2 linked regions of the Medicago truncatula genome follow. The protein of the gene in region 1 interacts with the protein of each later gene in a pairwise test. Links are inferred from orthologs where the notes say so. Each region holds a gene or a part of one and is shown on either strand. Other genes may lie near its edges. The genes, in order: uric acid degradation bifunctional protein TTL and FHA domain-containing protein DDL.

Region 1 (12,003 bases):
TTTTCACATTAGTTCTTTAAATCTTTGTCATTAACATAGTTTTTCAAACATTGAAGTGCTCCATGTTAGTGGTGTAGCTTTTGGTCTGCGGTTCCTGCAGTACTGCTGGTTGCTATAGCAGGTGCAGCTGCTGTGCTGCATACCGGCGGCTCATGGTGTTATTTAGGAGTTTTTGGCTGCCTTTTAGTGCTTGTAATTTCTGCTGTGTTTTTGTTTTTGTTTCTTTTTAGACAAAAAAATGTGTTTTTGTCTAGAAGTTTACATCCAATGGGCATAAAAAATCCAGGTGTTTTTAAGGAAGTAAATTTCTGAAATGAATGTGGGTTACAAAAAACAAACCATCAATTTTTTCCTTTTAAATCAATCTCTTGAAGATACACAAACTCTAGTATAGTTCTTTAGATTTGTGAAATGATAATTTAGTCACTTAAATTAACTTATATGATCGAATTTATTCCTTTTCAAATTTAGCATTATAGTATGTTCATTTTGATGTATGAAGAAGGGAGTAAAGACGATACGTGACTTTCATAGGTTTTGATCAATATTTATTTTCCAAGGTTATATTTTTTTTTTACATAATTTTTATTTTTTTTAAAATTAAATTGTCATGTACTTTTAGGTCATTTTATATTTATAACAGCTAGTTTTACCAAACACATTATTTTTAATAAGCGAGCTTTTCAGCTATCAGCTAGCTTATAGCTGCTTTTTACCAAACAGAGCCTTAATGCAAGTGAATGCCAATTTTATATTGAAACTCTATTTAGCAGCATTTTCATGTTGCTATATTGTTTTGTATATAGTAAATGTATGTAGATGTTAACAAATGTAGCTTATATTTCCTTCAAAAAAAAAAAAATGTAGCTTGTATTATGTTAATGTAGAAACAAACATACAGGTGTTTTTAAAATACAATCTGTCCTGAAATATTGAAATCTAGTTAATGCAAGTGAATACCAATTTTATATTCAAACTCTCTATTTAGATTGCTTCATTGTTTTGTATATAGTGAATGTATGTAGATGTTAACAAATGTAGCTTGTATTATGTTAATGTAGAAACAAGCATACAGGTGTTTTGAAAATACAAGATAAATCTTTAGTAGATTTATGAAACTGTGACATATCTTTAGTTGACCCAGATGTTGGAAAATGTGCTTGCAATCCCTAAAAATTAGAAACTGTCTAATTTATATATCCCTAATAAGGTTGTAAAACTCTCAATTTTGGAGGTTGTAATTGGTATACTTTCCTGTACAACTATAATAGCAGTTTGTTTTAATATGAACTTTGATTCTTTATAACTGGAACTGCCGCAGCATTATACCTCTAGTGTAGCCACGTAGGAAAAACAATCGGATCTAGTAAAGAGTAGGGTTAAACAAAGCTATTAGGTATGCGTCTTTGTATAACTATCCAGTCTCAAAATATAGGTTGTGCGCCCAGGTATCTGTCCTGAAATATCGAAATCTAGTTGATACAAGTGATAGCCTATTTATATTCAAACTCACAATATACCAGCATTTTCCTGTTGCTTCAATGTTTTGTATATACTGATTGTATGTAGATGTTAACATATGTAGCTTGTAGTTGATTAATGTAGATTCAAATGTACATGTGTTTTTAAAGTACAAGATATAAAGCTTTGGTAGGTTTATGAATCTGTGACATATCTTTAGTTGAACCAGACGCAGGAAATTGTGCTTGCAATCCTTAAGAATTAAAAACTTGTCTAATTTAGATATCCCAAATAAGGTTGTCAAACTCTCTCATCTTTGAAGGTTGTAATTGGTGTATTTGTATACAACTATAATGAGTTGGTTTTGATATGGACTTTGAAATCTTTTCTTTATAACTGGTACTACTGATCTTTTCTTTAAAATTATAACTGGTACTACTGCAACACTATCCATTTGGTGTAGCCACATAGGACAAACAAGCAGATAGTAAAGAGTAGTGATAAACAAAGGTATTAGGTGTGTGTCTCTAGATAACAATTCAGTCTCAAAACATAGGCTGTGGTGTAGCCGCACAGGACAAACAAGCTGAACTTGTAAAGAAGAGTAAGGATGAACATAGATATTAGGCATGTGTCACTGGATAACAATTCTGTCTCAAAATATAGGCTGTGAGCTCATGTATCTTTCCTGAAATATTGAAATGTAGTTGCTGTGAGCTCATGTATCTTTCCTGAAATATTGAAATGTAGTTAATACAGGTGATGCCAATTTTATATCCGAACTCTCAATTTACCAGAAATTAAACCATTAATAAATACCCTTACCAATAACTATGACAAATGACCAAATATATTATACATATCCATTATTCCAATATTTCCTTTCCATGTTTTATTTTCACTTCTCCATAATTGTGTTATTTCTCACCCTCCTTGCAGTAGAACCACCTGCGGTATCATTATTGATTAGTCCAAATAATTTTTTCGTGTTCAGATATGTCCTGCTCAAGCAATAACAATCGAGGCTGAGGAGCGTGAAGATGGCAGCCGTAGGACAACTCGGTCAGTTACCTACCTTTTGTGTCTTCCCTTCTTCCCTGCATTACTCAATTCTGCTCTAATTTGTCAAATCTTGCAGGTATGATATTGACATGACCAAGTGCATCTATTGTGGATTTTGTCAAGAGGCATGCCCAGTTGATGCCATTGTTGAAGGGCCAAACTTTGAATTTTCTACAGAGACTCATGAGGTTCCTTTTCATTTCCATTATATTGAACTCTATTAGTGTCTTTAATGCTATAGCCATAATTGTTTATATCTTTTTTTGGTAATTGATTTTAAGTAACTAGGACTTTCTACCCGCGCTATCGCGCGGGTCTATTGTAAATCATTGATCAATGTGCAATTATTCTAATCAACTCAATCAATTTGAGAAATATATCATTATAGATCTATAATGTACCATTAAAATGTTGGTATGAATATTTATATAAGAAGGTTAGAAAGTTTATAAATAAACTAAAGTGCATTATGAAAAATCTCTTTATAAAAGGGGAGAAGGAAGGAGAGGTGGTGGCGGCGCTACCGCTGTTAACAGGGACAGTGGTGGTAGGGGTAGAACAGGGGTTATGAGAAAAGAAAGAAATAAAAAGTTATGTTTTGAGAGATATGATCATGTGGAGCAAGATATCTTATTGGTTTATTTTGCTGATGTTGCTTGCAAACCCTCTAAACCTGATTGGCTACTTGTATGGAGTATCACATGGCCTTGCATTTTGGCTCCAAAGAAGGGGCAATTTCAGTAAATAAACCAAAGTAGTTCTAGGGTTTTGCTAGGGTTTGCTGGCAAAATTTCCTTACATTTGTATATAAGATTGTTTCTTTGATTCTTTGTTTATTACTGATTATATGTTTTAAACGTTATAGGAGCTTTTATACGACAAAGAGAAGCTGCTTGAAAATGGTGATAGATGGGAAACTGAAATTGCAGAGAACCTGAGATCTGAAAGCCTTTATCGCTGATAATCTCGTTGGAACCCTGCTTATTCTGTCTTATTATGCACTGATAAATAAAATGATCAGTGAATGATCTTGAAAATTTGTATGGATTGTTCCTCACTTTTTATTTTTTGGTGGGCCATTGTTGTAATTCTCGCATGTATGCAATTGTGATTTCTTTTTTGCTCTTGAAATCTTTGAACAAATGAGTAAATAATTGTAAGAATTCAACAAATAAATGTCGTTACCTTGTAGCAAACTTGTGGCCTTGAACTATATAGCTTGTATAATGGAAATACACTCGCTTTGATGGTGACCCTGATACATGCCTTTATAATTTCTAGTAATCTTGTATGATATCAGAAAGCTTTTTAATTTATGTCGTGTCAAAGCCTTTCAATTTATTTGCCACACATTTGCTTGTATATAAAACACTTGAGGGTGTTATGAATTATTATCATTACTTAATGAAAAATAACGGCAAAGGTGAAATCCTAGGAAAGGTATCATGTTCATGAACACCGAAAAGAAAAGCAAAGGAACGGTTGGTGGTGCTTGAATTTGGTTAAGATTATGTGGGTGGTTGTTACGGTGGATGGGAATGAAAATGGTTCCGTATAATGGCAGGAAATATTTTTATGGATGATGAACATGCCTTCTAAGATTCATGAGAAGTTTGAAAATTCCTATGGAATTATAGCAGTAGCAACGAAGTTGTGGAACACAAGGATGATGGTGGTTTTCATTTTTTATTTATTTATTAAAAATGCTTTTAAAATAAGTAGAATGTTAACGAGTGCCCAAAGGTATTGGTTAAGTATCTAAAACAAGCAAGTTTTCATGGAAAAAAAAATTGTGCAATCATTATTTAATTAAAACTAACATTTTATATTTCCAAGACAAAATTTTTATTTGTAGAATCCTTAACCAATATCCTGAGAATACTGATTAGCAAGACCCTTAAAATAATAATAAAGTTAATGACCTATATCAAATTTATTGGTTATTTTTAAAGAGGATGTGATATGCATGACCCTATGCAAGAATTTCTCCGCGTAGACAAGCAAACAACTCACACCGACGACTTCAGGTCTTTCAAGTTTCAAGTCCTAATTGAGGTTAAAACGTCATTATTATTTTTAGAGTAGTGATATTTGTAGAACCATTTGCGACAACTATTGTGACAACTTTCTCTTTGTTTCTTCTTATTGGTCAAAAACAATAGAGAGAGAGAGAGAGAGAGAGAGAGAGAAAAGGAAGAGATGATAAAAACATAATGTGAGTATGAGAGAGAATTGTCAAAAAGTTATCATAAAACGGTTGTACAAATATCATTTCTCTTATTTTTATGACTTTTTTACTATTGGTCGAGGATAATAGTCTATGCGTCCTATTTTAATCGACCTACTTCGAAAATGTGCACTATTTACATAACATGTTTTGACCATATTTTTCTATTAACATACAAAGACAAATGGTTTTCATAAAAAAAACAAGTATTTATTGCGAAAAATTAAATTTCAATCTTTTGTAAATTAAATTGAAACAATTTTTAATATATACTACCTGTCCCAAAATATAAGAACATTTTGACAAAATTCCGGGAGTAAAGAAAATTGATATTTGTATTAAAGATCTTTGTAATCACTATTGTTTTTACAATATTATTATTTAAGAGATAATTATTTTATGTTTTCAACATGTTATTTATTTTTGATTGAAGAAAAAAACATAATAAATATGGGTATGTAGCTCAAGAAATGATTAATTTAGTTGAAAATAACAATAAGGTCTTATTAGGAAAAGAAGGATCGTGGAAATAAATTGACGCCTCTACTTTTCTAAAGTTATAAAGAAAGGTCACCGAAAGGTCACCCAATTAGGGTTTTTTCCAACTTGTGCAAGATTCCACAGCTTAAGCTCCAATAAATGCACTATTTGTTTTGTTTTTCTAAATCCTACTCCATCTGTCTCACAATAATTGTCTTTTTACCCATATTTCTTTTTCTCGAAATAATTGTCACTTTAGAATACTAATACAACATTTATTACTTTTTTCCAATATAATACCCTTATTTATTGAACTTAATCCAACTTAACTACTCATCCTCCACTAACTACAAATAATAAGGATGTTTTAATAAATGATACTAATTTTACCATCAAAATCAACACAATTAATTATTTCCTTAATAACCGTGCATCAACCTCAAACAACTACTATTTAGAGACGGGGGGAGTATTAATTAGCCTTTTTCTTGAAAATTGGTTTTTTTTCATCTCTCTTCTATTAACTGCTATAATTTCGGTGCACTAAGAAATACAGAGAAAGTCAACATTCAAATTCCACAGACACACTAAACTGAACATTTTATTCTTCTGTCACGCCACTTTCTTCTTCAACTTTGAAAAAGTCTGATAAGATATGGCAAAACGAAAGGAACCAAACCATTTGAAATCGTATGATTGTATATGAATTCTGCTCTTCCCCCCAGCACAAAACACTCGCGCCCAACATGATTTCCAAATATACCCATGCGTGAGTTTAGTCACAAACCACTGAACCTCTGCACGAGTTAACGCACGCAAGTTGGCCAGTGGTCAAAACTGAAGAACAAACGTTTTTTGGACGGTGGTCAATGCTTTTTATTGGTTTTTACACTTTTTTTTTTTTTTTTTTTTTTAAGTTTTTCTCACGTTTTTGCATCCCATTAAGTGCTATGCTACCTTAAACCACCTATAAATACCCTCACAAACTTCCTCTTTCCTCATATTATCTCCTCCCACTCGCTCCCCCTCTTTCTCTTCTTCGTTTTTGCTTCTATAGTCTCTAGGCTCTTTACACCCCTTTAGGTAAATAGCAGTAGTTTTTGGGGGAAGTAGTGGTCCGTCGGGTTGGGAAAAGGGCATCATTCCTTGAGGGAAAATTAGGTTTGCTTCCTTTTACTTCCAAAATATTTTTACCGTGGGTAAATAGAATCATCATGGGGGTATAAAAAGGAACCAAACTTAAATTTACCTCAAGGGATCTTGATGTCTTTTTCTCCAACAGGACATATCACAAGTTAGAAAAATCCTTAATAATTAAAAAGTAGCGCATTTATTGGATCACAAGTTTAAAAAACCCAATTATTAAAATAACTACTTTTATGACATTTGGTTTTTTGTGTGTTTATTAATCGCTCCGTTTCAAAATACATATCCAATTTTTGCAATGTGCACTATTTACTTGACTTACTTTGACCATACTTTTTAACTAATGTATAAATATAAATATTAGCATGTAAGATGTTGTTTGATTTGTCTCGAAAAATATTTTCAAAATATTAAATTTTTATAATTTTTTACTTTAGATAATTAAATATATTAACGGTTAAAATTGTGCATTGACATGTGTGAAATGGCTGATTTGGACATGTATTTTGAAACGGAGGAAGTATTAAATGAAGGAAATCTTAATAATTTAAAGTTTTGGTTAGAAAGTAAAAAAAATCAACAAAAAATTATTTTAACAATGAAGGTCACTTGAACAATTTTTTTTTTTTTAAACAAATGTCATTTTATTTTTAAATATATATTTTCTCAATTAAGATTTTTTTTACAAACTCAAACAAGATCTATAAATAATTTTAATTTTTTTTTTTTTTTTAGAGAAAACTAATAAGTGCCCCTATATTAGTTAATGGCGCTCGAACCACTATATAAAAAAAAACACATTTTGAAAGACATTGGATAAAATATTATTTAAAGAATTTTCTTAGGAAAATTTTAAAAAAAATATAGGAAAAAAAAATGATCCAACCCTTTATTCATTTGTCTCAACTATATAGTAAGTAGTGGTGGTGAATGGTGAAAGCTGACGCAAACATATCGACGAAAACATACATAGATAGATCCTCATCCAAATTCCAAAACCCCAATTTTGCAATTGAAGAGAATCGATTATTAGTGTGTGTGAAGAAAATGGAAGTGGGTGTAGGTTTTGATGAGAACGATTACTTGTCATGTTGTGGAAGCACCAAATTCGCCAAGGAAATGGCTGCTGCCTCTCCTTTCCCTTCCTACCACCGTGCTCTCACCGTTGCTAAACACATTTGGTTCAACATAGTTGATGTCAATGGTTGGCTTCAAGCTTTCTCTGCCCATCCTTCCATTGGTCAACCTCGTCCTCCTTCTCATGCTTCTGCAACAAGTGCTGAGTTCAGTTTTCATTCTCTAACTCAAACTCTCCTTTTTCATCTGGGTCTCTTTCTTTTTTGCTTATTAATGTGAAAAATTGTTACTTTAGTGTGAAGGTCGTGTTTTTCTTATGTGGGTCTCTCTCATTTATGTTTATTGATGTGAAAAATTGTGACTTTAATGCTAAGGTTGTGTTTTTCTTATCTGGGTCTCTTTCCTTTTTGTATATTGATATGAAAAATTGTGTCTTTCGTGTAAAGGTTGTGTTTTTCTCATGTTGGTGTTTGTCATTTTGGATATTCGTTTGGGATTGTATGACAAATTATGACTTTAGTGTAAATGTTGTGTTTTTCGCATGTGGGTATTTGTTAATTTGTGTCTTCTTTTGGAATTTTAGGGTAGTGATAGTAATTGAAGTGAAAATTTTGAATGTGGATTATTGTTGTTTGTGGCTTCTTCACTTTTGTGGTGTTTGATAGTGTCTCATTTGGAATTTCTTTTATAGTGTTGCTAATGGAATTTGTATGTTTAGTCATTCTTCTAAGTGTATGTTTGATATCAAAAATGATTCTAGAGACATAATTGATTTTGACATGTTTGATTCAATTGGAATTGGTTTTGCATCTAGAGTTGAGTGTATGTTAGCTTGGGCGTACCCAACTAATTAAACGTACATTTACTTTGAAGCTCTTGTTAGTAGCTTTGTTACATTCCTGCGATTAGAGCATCCTATATGCGGTTCAAGACATACAACGGTTTTAATTTGAAGTTAAGATTTGTAGCTTTTGGCTCCAAATGTGATTTTTACTTTCGAATTTATGGTTCAACTCACTTTTACGTGAATGTATCCAAATATAAATCACTTTATATTCAACTTACTTTTAACTAATATCAAGTTTAGGAAATCAACTTTTGTCACTGCAGAACCAAACATGCACGGACTCTATTATTGTTTTTAGCCATATGGGTTACTTTCTTCTCTTTGCATTAATAGAAAAACTTGGCATCATTAACATGTAGAAGAAACTCATTTTGGCAGGTGGAGTATAGGAGAACAATCAACTGCTTTAGCAACTTCTACTGCTTCTAGTTTACAGGTTTGCTTGCTTTCAGCTGCTATTGAAAATGCTACCAATAATCTAGTGCTGTTTCGTGTACTAAAGAACGTATGAAAACTGATTGTTCTCTTGCTCTGCTATCAGCATACTTAAGACTATTTGTGTATGAGTACTGATTTTAAAAAAACACCTTCTTTCAGAGAGTTATAGTTTCTTACAAAGTATCTTATGGTTTCAACTTTTGCATCCTTTATTGGCTTGACCTGCATCATGGTTCGTTATTGATTTTATTATTACGGTGGAAAAGTCATTTGTTCATCAGCAAAATTGGATTTGGGACCGGGAAACAAACATTCAGTTTTTGTAGGTTTAATATAACCGGTATGTTAATAGTTCATATATTATGATGATAATTAGTATTCTAATTGTGGTCTGTTTGACTTTTGTAGGAACTAGCTGAATGGAATGCTCGGTATATGCAAAAGTTTGGGTTTGTATTTCTTGTATGTGCATCTGGGAGAAGTACTGAATCGCTACTTGCTGAACTAAAGGTAAAATATGAATTTAAGGTCTAGTGTTGAGTGTTATATTAAATTTAAATTCATTTGTTCACTGTGCAGAGACGCTATGCAAACAAACCGATTGTTGAATTTGAGATTGCAGCTCAGGAGCAAATGAAAATTACAGAACTTCGCCTTGGAAAGCTCTTTACAAGTAAAAAAAACATATCTTCTACAACTGATACTAATTCCATTGCTGTTGCTCAAAGTCAAAGGGCAGAAGGTACTTCCATATACTTTATTGTGTTTTATGTTTGGTTATTTTATAAGCATATTTCCAAATTTGGATTTGATTCCAATTGATAGCTTCATGTTCTAATTGTTTCAATGACTGCGACAACCCGTGCACTATTGAATTCGGTTAAGGAAATGATTCCATCCACTCATAATATACCATGATGACTTTATATATTAATTATTAAACCTATGATATATCATTTTCCGTTTATAATCAACCATCACTGAGTCACAACTTTTTGTCTAGAAGTAGCAGGATCATAGTTTGGAGTTTTATGTCCATTTATTCTGTATATTAAAAGTTGTGAGTTCTAAGATAGTCAAGTCTAAGATTCAAGTAATTTAATGTTAACAAACACGTCAGAAAGAATTGTATGATCTTCACATGCCACTATCTGTATAAATAAAATAGATTATAGAAAAGGCAAACTGAGTAAATCCAATTGCATGATGTTTAATTAAATCAACTAGAACATGAGAATATCCATTTGTAAATGTATCAACTAATGATGTTGTAAATTTAGCATTTCTATTTCTTACATAATATTTATCTTGAAAAAGCATAAGGTGTTTGGTTTGGTTGATATAGTTAAAGTTACTGGCATCATTTTGAGATTTTACCATTTTGAGTAGTCAGGCTTTTTCTTTTTTCTTTGGTTACATTTACTTTTATTTGATATTCTATTATTTGGAACTACTTTTCCTTGTGATCGTGTCTTTTTTCCCCATAACTTGCTAATTGTGCATATATGAGAAAACATAACTATGGTATATGAAATTTTCTGTCTGATGATAACATTTGTATGTAAAACAATTCATGAATCTTCACCAAATAACTTAAGCATTTGGATTCCTTATTTAAAATTGTATTAGAGCCTCTGCATGTTGTCATGTCTTGGATCTTGCTTGAGTAGTCATGTTGGATAAAAATCCATTCCGAAGGCTTTACCGAAGAACTTATCTTCTGACAAAACTGGTAACTGACGAGAATAAAGACGCACGTTAACTTGTGGGATAACAGATAGTACTTTTGATAAACTTAATTAAAGTTGCCACAATGTTATTTCTGAAATTCAGGTTTCTAGAAACTCTGAAGTGAGCATTGTGTTCTTCTCAGGGAGAGGTTCAAACGAACTTCTAAACACATGCTAAACTTGTTAAAGGAAGGTAGAATAGAAACCAAAGTAAATAGATCTTTTAAGTTTTAAGAAAACATTTTGATCTCTTAAATTTGGATCATTTGGACCTCCATAAAATGTAAGCATTGGTTTATGTTATTCCAATGCAGCACTTCTGATTTCTGAAGCCTTCCGTGGATCTGCATTCTGCAATGGTGGCATTGTATATACTTATTGCTTACTATCCCAAGATTGTGATATTTGTCCTATTTCTGACTGATTATAGAAGTACATATTATTGAAAACCCTTCAACTTTTTGGCTGGACACAAATGCTAGGTCTAGGATGATCAACGAAGTAACTTAGAATGATTTCGTACTTTTCATTTTATCATCTACCTCTTTTCTTAAGAAAATCTCTTTCATGTATGTCCCAGGACTCAAATATAAGCAAAAATAATTAAATGCACATTGATTAACGATAGTAGTTAACTCCAATTAATTTTCTTGATTCAAAGGGTATTTCAGGAATTAGAATAATTAAGATGTTAAGATTGGTTAGAATTTGCTTATATTTTGTACCATTCGACATGTCTATCTTTTGTTTGTATTTAAGTTTGAATGTGCAGCTCATGAACTCCTACTTTTGCATCATTATTGTTTTTGGTGATATCATGATAATTTCTTAATACTTGTTTTATTAATTTTTCGAATGCTAGAAGTTCGTGTAAGCATTATTGGTGGTCATGTGACTGCTGCTGCTTCAAACACTTTAACAGGAAAATCAATCCAAAATACATCTAGAACCCGCCCAGCTATTACCACTCACGTGTTGGATGTTTCGCGGGGATATCCAGCTCCTGGAATTGAGGTACTTTTGGAGGTGTGGAGGGGAAGTCAAGCTGGACCGACATTTGGGATTACAGATGGTGGCGGTTGGGTGGTTCTAGGGTCTTCGACAACTGACTCCGACGGTCGTAGCGGTCAACTGATGGACATAGTTGATGATGTGGATCCAGGGATATACAGGTTAACCTTCAACACTGGGAAGTACAATCCAACTGGTTTCTTTCCATATGCAACTATTGTGTTTGAAATCCTAGAGTCGCAGAAAAGGGAACATTTTCATGTTCCTCTGTTGCTTTCACCATTTTCATTCAGCACTTACCGTGGAAGCTAGAAGAAATATGGGAATTGTTGCCCTATCAATGCATTCATTACATGCATTGAATATCTAGAAGTTTTCATGAAAGTGGATTAGTATTTGTGGTGTTTTGCTTAATGTAATGCCCATACTGTATAGGATAATAATTGAGTCTTGAAATGTTTTTAATATAAGCAAGGGTCTATGATTTATAATTTTATATATTACTTGAATCAATTTAAATTTGT
Region 2 (12,174 bases), on another chromosome or scaffold:
ACAGATCCATTCGATCCAACATTTCGTGCTTGGACGCGTTGCAATATGCTCGTTCACTCATGGATCATGAATTCTGTCGCTGAATCAATTGGCCAATCCATTGTATTTATGGAAAATGCGGTCGATGTTTGGAATGATTTGAAAGAACGCTTCTCTCAAGGTGATTTAGTCCGCGTATCAGAACTGCAACAAGAAATTTATGCTCTCAAGCAGGAGCATCGAACGGTAACTAAATTTTTCTCTGATCTTAAGATTTTGTGGGAAGAACTAGAAATGTATATGCCAATACCTACATGTACCTGTCGTGTCCGTTGCTCTTGTGAAGCTATGCATACTGCTAGATATAATCATAATTTACTCTATGTGATTCGTTTTTTGACTGGTCTTAATGAAGAATTCAGCGTTGTTAAGTCACAAATTCTGCTATTAGATCCTTTACCTAGCTTGAATAAAATTTTCTCAATGGTTATTCAGCATGAACGTCAAATTGTTCCACATGTTTCAGTTAATGATGACTCTAAAGTCCTTGTTAATGCTGCTGAAAATAGGAGATCAAATTTTAGAAATAATAAGACTGGTTCAAAACCTGGAGAGAGAGTTTGTACTTTTTGTAACAAATCAAATCATACTATTGATACTTGTTATCGCAAGCATGGAGTACCACCTCATTTACAGAAGAAAGGTTCAAACTATGCAGCTCATAATGTTAATGCAGAAAGTTCTGCACCTCCAGCTCTTACACATGAGCAGTATAATACTCTTGTGTCTCTACTTCAGGCTTCTAGCATTAGTAAACAATCTACTGCACATGCTTCTAATCAGGTGAACTCTTTCCAATCAACTGATCATCCATCAGTCGATGACAAAGGTAATATTTCTGTTATTTCTATTTTTTCTTCTTGTGTTAATAACACAACTCTTGGTTCTTGGATCATTGATTCAGGAGCTAGTGATCATATTTGTGGTTCATCCCATTGGTTTCATTCTTTTCATGATATTAGTCCTATTTTTATTAGATTACCTAATGGTAATTTTGCTGTAGCAAAACAAATTGGCACAATTTATTTTTCTCAAAGTTTTTTCTTAACAAATGTTCTTTATGTTCCTAATTTTTCTTTGAATCTAGTTTCAGTTGCCAAACTCTGTTCTGATTTACCTTGTCTTGTTAGTTTCACTAATTCACAATGTCTTGTTCAGGATCCTCAGTCATTGAAGACGATTGGTTCTGCTGAACTCATTGAAGGATTGTATCACGTGGTTCTACCAGATAAGATTCGGAATGTATCTGCTGCCCCTTGCAACTCTGCTGTCATCATACCAGAAAATGCATTATGGCATTTTAGACTAGGCCACCTCTCTAGTTCTAGAATGACTTTGCTACATTCTGATTTTCCTTTTATTGTTATAGATCAAAAAGGAGTTTGTGATGTATGCCATTTGGCAAAACATAAAAAATTACCATATCAAAGGAGTTTTAATAAAGCCATGAAACCTTTTGATCTAATTCACTTTGATATATGGGGTCCTCTTGCTATTAAATCTGTTCATGGTTTTTCTTATTTTCTTACTGCTGTTGATAACTTCAGTAGATATACTTGGGTTACTCTTATGAGATCTAAGGCTGAAGTTAGTCAACATGTCATGAATTTTGTCCAGCTAATTGAAACACAACATAACACCCTTGTTAAAACCATAAGAACTGATAATGGCCCAGAATTTTTGATTTCTTCTTTCTATTCTTCCAAAGGAATTATTCATCAAAAGAGTTGTGTAGAATCTCCACAACAAAATGGAAGAGTAGAAAGAAAACATCAACATATACTAAATGTAGCCAGGGATTTGTTGTTTCATTCAAATTTACCAAAACAATTTTGGTGTTATGCTGTGTCACATGCTGTTTTTATCATAAACCGTGTCTCTAGTCCTCTTCTTGATAATAAATCACCATATTTTTTGATGCATGATAAGCTACCTGATTTGAAAATTTTAAAAGTGTTTGGCTCTTTAGCTTATGCATCTACTTTACATTCACATAGAACTAAATTGGATCCCAGAGGTAGAAAATGTGTGTTCCTAGGTTTTAAAAGTGGCATGAAAGGATCTATACTTTTTGATCTAAACAATAAGGAAATATTTGTTTCTAGAAATACCACACACCTTGAACATATTTTGCCATATAATCCAATTTCAAAACCTTCCAATTGGAAATATCATTCTCATGGTAGAACACTCGGTGATGATATTCCAATTATTCATCCCCCTAATGACACTATATCACATAACACAAAACCACCGGATTCTGTTCCATTATCATCTACACTAGAACATAACCTTACAAATTCAACCATACCGGAACCTGAATCTTTCACCCCTGTCCCAAGAATACCAAATCAAAATCCACAACCATCACCTCATCAACCTATTAGGCAAAGGCATCCACCATCTTATCTTGCAGATTATGTGTGCAATGCTTCAGATGGTTCAACAAAATCAAAGTCTTCAGGTACTCCTTACCCTATCACCTCTTATCATTCTTTTTCACAATTATCACCTTCACGTCAAGTTTTTTCTTCTTCTATCACACACTGCACAGAGCCAAAATCCTTTAAAGAAGCAAGTCAGTATGATTGTTGGCAAATAGCTATGAAATCTGAATTAGATGCATTGGATAAAAATGGCACTTGGATTCTAGTAGATTTGCCACCTCATGTGAAGCCTATTGGTAGTAAGTGGGTATACAAAGTTAAACATAGGGCAGATGGCTCTATTGAAAGGTATAAAGCACGATTGGTTGCGAAAGGGTATAATCAGATTGAAGGTCTTGATTTTTTTGATACCTTTTCACCTGTTGCAAAACTCACTACAGTTAGAACATTACTTGCTCTTGCTTCAATTCATTCTTGGCATTTACATCAATTAGATGTAAATAATGCGTTTTTGCATGGAGAATTACAAGAAGAAGTTTACATGACTATTCCAGAAGGTGTTTCATGTACCAAACCTAATCAAGTTTGTAAACTTCTTAAAAGTCTCTACGGTCTTAAACAAGCAAGCAGGAAATGGTATGAAAAATTGACATCTTTGTTAGTGAAGGAAGGATATCAACAATCTACATCTGATTACTCACTTTTCACATTGAAAAATGGTCATGAATTTACTGCCTTGTTGATTTATGTTGATGATGTGATCTTAGCAGGAACTTCTCTCGATGAATTTAAAAGGATCAAACATATTCTTGATTGTAATTTCAAGATAAAGGATCTAGGAATTCTTAAATATTTCCTAGGCCTCGAAGTGGCTCATTCCAAAATTGGGATCACTATTTCACAAAGGAAATATTGTTTGGATTTATTGAATGATTCAGGTTTATTGGGATCCAAACCAGCCGGTAGTCCTCTTGATCCTTCCATTAAATTACATCAAGATGATGGTAAGCCTTATGATGATATTGCCGCATATAGGAGATTAATTGGTAGGTTGTTATATTTGAATACTACTCGACCAGATATCACATTTGCAACTCAACAACTAAGTCAATTTCTTCATGCTCCAACCATGACACATTATAATGCTGCTTGTAGAGTTGTGAGATATTTGAAGCATAATCCTGGAAAAGGCCTTTTATTTCCTAGAAATTCTGAGGTACAAATTTTGGGGTATTCAGATTCTGACTGGGCTGGTTGTATTGATTCCAGAAAATCAATTTCAGGATATTGTTTTTTTATTGGTTCTTCCTTGATATCTTGGCGTGCTAAGAAACAACAAACTGTATCGAGGTCTTCTTCTGAAGCTGAGTACAGAGCTCTTTCTACAGCAACATGTGAATTACAATGGTTGCTTCACTTGTTCAAAGATTTGCATGTTATCTCCACACGACAGCCTGTGCTATATTGTGATAGCCAAAGCGCTCTTCATATTGCTTCCAATCCTGTGTTTCATGAGAGAACAAAGCACCTTGAAATAGATTGTCATCTAGTAAGGGAAAAGGTTCAAGATGGTACTCTTAGACTTTTACCAATTTCATCACAAGAGCAGTTAGCAGATTTTCTCACAAAGGCTTTGGCCCCTCCAAAATTCAACTCATTTATATCCAAGCTTGGCATGATAGACATCTATAATGCTTCAGCTTGAGGGAGGATATTGAGCTAGTAAATAAATGCACATATTATGCCTAAAATTATGCATACGTTTGCTGTTATTTTGCTTTTTACGTTACTACTAATTAATGGCAATTGTTACATTGTAACAAATATATATATGCCTTTTCATTATACTGAGTTGACATTGAGAAATAATTCAATTATTGGAAACCTAATTGGTTATCCCTTTTTCATCTTTTACTTATTCTCATACATGTAAATAAAGGCTTCCCGTGCATGACATACTTCATTTCCATTAAAATGCACTAATTCATATCTTGAAACACCTCTATTTAGTGTTTGTTGCATACAAATTAATGAAAATGAATACAACAAACAGGAAAATCTCAAGTAAGACCTTTTAAGAAGGCAAACCCAAACTAGTGCTCTACTAAAGAATAAAGAATAAAAATAAAAAAGATTTTATTAAAATGTGCAGTTCACAACTTACATTTAGGAAGATTGAGGAAGATGAGATGAATGATATTGTTGGAAGAGATGAAGAATGTTATTTCATTTCGGCCTCTACTTCCACCTCATAGCTTGCATGTCTCTTAAATAATGTCAATTTAACTTCTTTGTGGAATTAACAACCAAATTTAATGTCAGAGACAAAAGTGACTAACAAATTTTGGAGTGAGATTTTTTTGTTTTCTCTATAGTCAAAGACCATCATGACAACGGTGTGCATATCCAAAGACAAAAAAAAATGAATGTTTACCCAAAGATAAATCCTTATTTTGACCATTTAATCCCAACCATTTGATTTGTTTCGCATTGAAAAAGAGTAAGGTATGTTTGTTATAGTTTTTTTAAAAATAGATTTTTGTATTGTAATATGTTTTTGTTATAATTTTTCTAACAAATAAATTTTTAAGGAAAGCTTCAAAAGAAAAATTTGTTTGAAAAACTTATCTTAAAATGTTATTCTAAGTATTTCATCATTTGTTTTATAATTATTTTTTGATACTAAAATTTTGAAAAAATCTCTTAAGAAAAAACTATCTCAAATAGTTTTTCATAAAGATCATTTTTGAAAGATTTCATTTAAAAAAATGTGATTTTTGCTATATAAAATCTCAAACAATGACTCACGTGAATATAATTCAATTGATAGGGGTAAGGTGTTATTCTATCGAGGTTCGAACCTTAAACATCCACTTATCATCTTAAAAAATGAATTCTAATCACTAAACTACTTAGAAAAAAATTCAAACAATAAATATTTAAGTTAACGAAAGTCAATTTTTTTTTTTTTTTAAATTTATATCAAATGAGTTTAACTATATTTGAGTAAATTTAAAAAAAAAAACTTTTTTTTTTAAAAACAAACTGGCCAAAATGGAGGAAAGCCGTAAAACAAACTATCCAAAAGCTTCATTACAGTTCTACCATTTCCGTCTCCTTCTCACCTCTCTCTAATCTTGCTCTTCTAACCTTTCTCCTTTCCCATCTCACTATTTTTCTTCCATTCTATTTCTCCATCACATGCAACATGGGTAATTATGTAAATTTACATGTCATAAAAAAACAAATTATTTGATTCGATTTTGGAGTGAACCATCAAATTCGTCCTTGAATTTTAACGGGTCAGCCAAATTCATCCCTCAATTATGCGAAATATCAACTTAGTCCCTGAATATGTCAGACGTCCAATAAAAAGGTCCCTCCGTCCAAGTGCTCCGTTAGCCATGGTGACATGTCGCCCTGCATGCCGTGTTGTCTTGTACACGTGGCAAGAAGGAAACCACGTGTTCAAGGACTAATTTGATTGAATTGGAAAAAGTCCAATTTTCACTTTATTTTTTTTCCTGCTTTTCCCATTTTGCCCCTGCATTACCCATACCTCATTCTTCACATTTCAGTCAGAAGCATCAAAAACATCCTTGACCTTTCACATTTCCGCTAAAACTTTCTCCATTCTCACCCCTCCAAAATCATCATCATCACCGGCGATTTTGACGTTTTTGAAGTTTCTGTGTTCGGCTGTGATTAAAGGTAACACCTTTCAAATTGTTTATCAAGATTCTATGTTCGTATTCACCCTGGAGATGCAGAAATTGCAGGAAATGTTGTTGCAAATGTTGGACATGTATGACTCTTAATTTTTAAGGATCGTTTTGGCAATTAGTATATTAATTGAAGGACTGATATGATTGATTATCTAAATTCATGGAGTTTATACCAACTCCCGAATTTTCAAAGAAGTGATGCTTCCTGAAGTTTAATAGATGTTTTGGATTTGTAATATTTAGGCTTATTTGAATTATGCCTCGTAGTTGGGTTTCTTTTTGCTTAACTTGTCGTTTAAGACTTATGACTTGTTAATGCCTCATAGTTAGGTTGCTTTTGCCTATGTAATTTCTCAAACTTATGACTTATGACCTATGACTTTTGCCTATGTAATATTTCAGTTTGAATTTGTGTGTTCTGGCTTTTTTACTTAATTTTGTACCCATATGCTTCAAGGATCAATTTGATATATGATTAAACAATTCAGGAACTTATTTGATGGGTTTTAATATAACGTAAGGATCTATTTGATAGATAGTGAAATAATTCAAGGACTAATATGATGGAAATATTATTACAGAAATGAAATGTTACATTTTTGAATTATCTTCAACCTCTTTTCATCACCGTTAAACTTGGAGCTTGAAGATGAAGCTCGACTTTCATAACAATTTTTTCCCTTATTCTCACCCCGTTCATTTCAAATTCAATTTCAATAGTTTTGCTTCAAGAAATTTTGTAGATTTTGACTTTCAGATTCAATACAAAAAAATTCGGGTTTCAAGTTTTTTGAATTGGGGAAGAACTGGACCACTTATTATTAGAGGAAATTTAGGTGATTTTAGAATATAGATTGCAGATTGTGTAATTAGGGTTTCAATTTTATACAATTGGGGAAGACAGAGCCATTGGGAAGAAAAGAGCCGTTTTAGAAGAAACTAAAATTATTTCTGCAAATCAATCAATTTAGTCATTCGAAATGTTTTTTTAGCTAAATTAGTCCTGCCTACGTGGCGCCTGACATGTGAGAGGTTAACGGTCACGTCAGCCCCGTTAACGCTCCGTTTTGAACAATGACTAACTTGATTGACATTTAACAAATTCGAGATTAAATTGATATTTCGCATAATTGAGGGACGAAGTTGACCGACCCGTAAAAATTCAGGGACGAAGTTGATGATTCCCTCTTCCATTTTGCTCCCAATTTGTTGTAGTTTTGAGAAAACTCACTTGATTCTCAAACCCATCCAAACGGACAGTTAGCTCGATTGCAGACCACTTTAACAACCATGGGCCGTCATTCTCCATCCACTCGCCGTCACCGGAGCCACCGCAGCATCTCACCTCCGCCGCGAGACAAGCAAAAACCTTCAACTCGTTCACCTGATTCTCCTCCTCCTTCTTCTCATCGCTCTCGTTCTCCTTCTCCACGAACCAAACGGTTGAAGAAAATTCAATCCGAACGAGAACCCAAACGCGAGCATGAGAGGAACCGTGACAGTAACAGCAGAGGGAGGGATTCGGAGAGGGAAGAATTTGACCGGAAGGAGAGGAGGAGAGTGGATAATGATGATGATAGTGGAAGGAACGGCAGATCATCTAGGTCGAAGCATGATAGGTCGCCGGAGCACCGTCACAACGGAAGGGGCAGACATAGGTCTCAGTCGCCGCAGCGTCACTCAATGCCTCGTGATGAGGTGTCTGGTGATATCCAACCCTATTTCAAATTATTGTTTCATTCTTTCTGTATTGTTACGCTGTTTTTTTTTTTTTTTTTGGTTAAAAATGGAGAATTTCATGCATTTGTTTTTATGCTGTTGATGGAATTGAAGGTTGAATTTTTGGTGTTATTAGAGGTTGATTGAATAGAGTTTTGGAAAGAATTAAAGAAATTTAAAGCTTAGAGGTTGATTGATACCAATATTATTTGACATACAAATAGTTTGTGATTGGTAGACTTTTAGGATGTTGTTAATTCAACAGCATTCTGAAAGTGTTAATATTTTACTCAAATGCGAGGGATATAAGGAGATGACATGATTGTCATACTTCATCTGAGAATAGGACGTGTTTAGTGTTTGTGATGAAATGCTTGCCATTCTTCATTGTAGAAGGAAATAGTTTGATTTTGGGCTAGGCTAATTAATGCATACAATTATGGATTATCAGATTTCTAGTAGTAGTCTTGTTTAATCGTTGCAGCTGGACTTTGCACTTAAGTTAGTAGTGTAGATTATGGTGGATTATCAGATTTATATATGCATTATTTATGTTTTGAGCTGGCTCCATGAGTGTGTGATTTATAGTATATCTCAACTCTGAATGGGTATTGAATGTTGGTTTCATGTACACAAAAGTTTATTATATACATGAATGTTAGTTGACATGTGATTTGTTTTTTTTTTTGGTTCACAAAAGTTAATTTTGTGAAGAAAAAAAAAAAAGAAACTATTGTTGATGAAGCATTCGTTATGGCCTTATGGGTGATCCCTTGATTATAGAAATTTATCAGTCCTTGTATTTGTTACTGTTGTATTGCAAATAATTTGTGATTGGTAGACTTTAGGAGGCTGTTGATGCAATTAAATATCTGATGGTGGCTATAAATGTTTTAGAGGAATGCTAGCAACACTCATTTTTCAACACTCACTCATTTATTGGATGAAATCAATGTATGTCCCACCATTTTGTGTGGGTTCTATTTTCAAAGTGTAGACCCACAATGATTTAAACCAATAAGAGAGTGAGTATTAGAGAGGGTGTTCAAGAGAGTGTTGCTAGCACTCCTCAATGTTTTATGTTTCTACAGAAGTGGAGTAAACAATAGCTGATTGTTGGCTATTTCAATGATAGTTTTTACCCTAGTTCTATGAAACACGGACACTCCTCAGATTAGGTGTGTCCCGGTGCCGGACACGTGTCGTATCCGACACCGACATATATAATTACACCGAATTATGTGATTTTTTGAAATTATTAGTGGTGTCGGCGTGTCCGTGTCCGTATCTGTGCTTCATAGCCCTAGTTTCACGATTAATTGATTGAGGTAGTGGTCAAATCTATGTTAACACACACGCGACGTTGCGCTGCAAAAGCGAGTAGTGATCGTCGCGATAGCTTTTGAGCTGGTATATCGCGGACCAGTTTGAGGAAAACGTGGCACTATGCATCCGCGTAAGGAGACAAACTAAACATTTAACTATGTAAACTGTGAGAGATTTGATCTTGTTATCTTGTGCATGGACAACCTATTAGAAGTCACTTTGCTTTTGAAGAGTGACATTTACATGTGGTGAGGTCACGTTAGTTGCAGACACGCCTGAACAAGGCAGTTGACTGAGATTTAGAGAAGCCCTAAATTTGCGCATGTGTAAAGAACATAGAGTCTTTCCTTTAGGTGGTTTGCACATCGTCAAACAGTTTGTCCTTAGACATGTGGTTCTTAAAAATTTGTTACTTTATTCTTAATTCTTTTTGCAGTTAATATCCATTTCCCCTTATTTTCTCCATATCTTGGTCTCTTTCCTTCTGCTTTTTGCTTCTGTGCATGTTAAGCTTTCATATTCTCTGGATTGATGCTTATCTAGGTTGCTTTTAATTTTTGCAGGGGAAAAACTCAAGAGAAGCTGAAATGATGTAAGCCTGTATTTCTACTTTGAATTGCATATTCATGTTTTGCTCCTGTTTGACGTTGTCCATACTGTTTAATTGTCAGTTTTGGTTTTAGTTCTTTAATAAGAATAAGAGTGCTATATTTTGTAGTAACGTTTGTCTCTCAGCGTTTTTGTGTCGGCAATTGCATATGAGAAAACAGTAGAATTGGTAGCTAATTTATGGCCTAATGAAATCATTGAAGATGAATCTAAATTTAAAACAATGTGCGTACTTTTTAAGATGGTTCACTAAACCCAATTGCAGTGACAGTTGGATTAAATTAACAGGAGCTATATTTCACTGACATGTATGCAATGATTAGACTTAAGATGTGTTGACATGTGTAGAAGTACAGTTGAAGACTTAAGAGCCTGACTTGGATTCATTGCTCTGGTGATTTGAATGGAATAAATTTACTAATATTATGTGTCGCATATGATTTTAACTAGTTGAATTATGGATTAAGAAAATGCATTTTTATCGTAAACTTGTTTTTGCAATGGAGCCTAGTCACATTAATCAATCCGTGTAGATGACTCTACCTAGTAGGACAGGACTTAATTTTGTTGGCTGTTGGTAGCATTTGGCTTAAGAGAAGAAAATCTATAGGTAAATGCTTAAATTTACAACAAGAAAGTCTGGTGTGCATCGAAGAAAATGTTTGAAGAAAGTTTGATGAATTTTGGCTGGGTATAGGGTATATAACATGAGATGATAGCATTTACGTTGTATAATTTGCTTAATAAATTTTTATCAGTATCTCTTAATATGGTTTTCTATGAAACAAATATAATAGGATGAAACCGTGCATCCTGAATGCTAAATGGTTAGGGTGGAAATGAAGGGTGTGTGGTGAGTGTCAATGAATGTGGTGATCATCCAATTATGGTGCATGGATCAGAATGCTGGGATGCTGAGAGACACCGCGCCTAGAAAGAACATCCTACTAAAATGTTTAAGTTTATTTAATAATGACATATGCCTGAAGAATTGGGTAGCATCAATTGAAGACCATATGCTACTCGACCATAGGTTGTAATTTGTAGACGTGTAATATGGAGATAGAAATGAAATCTTACTATTATAAAGAGTGAGTTAAACTAATCAAAGAGAATAGAATTAGTAGTTGAGCAAGTTGTGTCACGAATTGAAATAATATCAGAGATATGATTTTGAAATGATTGATTGGAATATGCTATACATGAATGTGACTAAAAGAGCTAGAAAATGCAGAAGTTTGTGATTAAGGTGGTTCTTATGTACAATTCATACTATTATTAATGTTTGATAGAATATTTATCTTTGAGCTTCTTTTCCTGTACCTGGTCATTTGTTGGACATCCTTTGAGTCTTTTCATTCTTCATGTTTAGTTGATCAGTAGTATGTAAATAGTGCTACCTCATGTATTTTATGTAACTTGGCCTTGGTGTGATCATATCAGTTGAGCTTTTGTATGAAAACATCAGAAATAATTGTGATAGTAAGATCATAGTTCGCCTTGAGCTTGAACATGCTACACAGCTCCTTTATTTGGTGCATATCTCCCAACGAATATGTGTACTTGGAATAACATGCAAAGCTAAATATTAAATTATTAATTTCTATTGAAACTGAATATAGAGGGTTACCTACAGTTTCTGTTTGCAAATGAAAAGAGATGAAGTCTCATTTGTTTAAGAGAAATTTTATGATCAGACCTTTGTTGTGGAATCTTAAGAGATCAAGCACTTACTTGAATAAAGTTGAAATTGTTAAAGAAATGGTAATAAAACTGAAAAGACATTAACTTGCCACTTTGATCCAGATCATTTCTTATATCCCCTGCTATTTTCTCTAAATTTTCTTAAAATTTAAAACTCTGTTGTAGTTCTCATATAGATTATACTTAGCCGATATAGTTTCTGATGACAATTTGGTCGCTGCTTTGGCAGGAATGAAGAAGATGATTCCTTAATGAAGATGAAGGCTGCTGAAGAGGCTCTGCAAGAAAAACAAAAGGTAATGATGTTCCTTTTTTCATAGGATCTCAGTGCCAGTAATTAATAGTGTCCTCCACATATGTATATGCTTGTGGGGCAGGGGTCAAGCTCACTGTCAGATAATTTAACCTGTGCATGTATTTTGCTAAGTATAACATGTTTACTCCGATATTCCTAAGCTACATATTGTTCAACATCAATCTTACCATAATCTTTGGAGGCTTCTACTGATAATTTGGCGAGTTAGATATTTTTACGTGAACATATTCAGATGTCCCTTTTTGTTGCTCATTTAGATGCTTATGGAAGAAAGACATCTAACCAAGGTTACCAATGTATGATATAGATATTATTCTTCTAAGCACTCAAACATGGATGCTTTGTACTA

What was found.
Region 2: the proteins of uric acid degradation bifunctional protein TTL (region 1) and FHA domain-containing protein DDL interact in binary tests that used the Arabidopsis thaliana proteins (3 or more experiments, as listed by UniProt). The link is inferred for Medicago truncatula from reciprocal best matches to the Arabidopsis thaliana genes TTL and DDL.

Annotation. Positions count from the first base shown.
Region 1 is NC_053049.1:2,636,445-2,648,447, reverse strand, and holds uric acid degradation bifunctional protein TTL, read left to right. Parts: upstream 1-7,267; 5' UTR 7,268-7,306; coding exon 7,307-7,659; intron 7,660-8,678; coding exon 8,679-8,736; intron 8,737-9,146; coding exon 9,147-9,248; intron 9,249-9,317; coding exon 9,318-9,480; intron 9,481-11,330; coding exon 11,331-11,791; 3' UTR 11,792-11,977; downstream 11,978-12,003. Other genes in the region: NADH dehydrogenase [ubiquinone] iron-sulfur protein 8, mitochondrial, read left to right, coding at 2,456-2,523, 2,600-2,711, 3,389-3,484. UniProt on the Arabidopsis thaliana protein: Involved in the last two steps of the degradation of uric acid, i.e. the hydrolysis of 5-hydroxyisourate (HIU) to 2-oxo-4-hydroxy-4-carboxy-5-ureidoimidazoline (OHCU) and its stereoselective decarboxylation to (S)-allantoin, a major ureide compound.
Region 2 is NC_053044.1:22,669,389-22,681,562, reverse strand, and holds the start of FHA domain-containing protein DDL, read left to right. Parts: upstream 1-7,358; 5' UTR 7,359-7,441; coding exon 7,442-7,849; coding exon of another isoform or gene 7,850-7,856; intron 7,857-9,759; coding exon 9,760-9,788; intron 9,789-11,738; coding exon 11,739-11,805; intron 11,806-12,174. UniProt on the Arabidopsis thaliana protein: Involved in the microRNA (miRNA) and short interfering RNA (siRNA) biogenesis. May facilitate DCL1 to access or recognize primary miRNAs. Binds RNA non-specifically.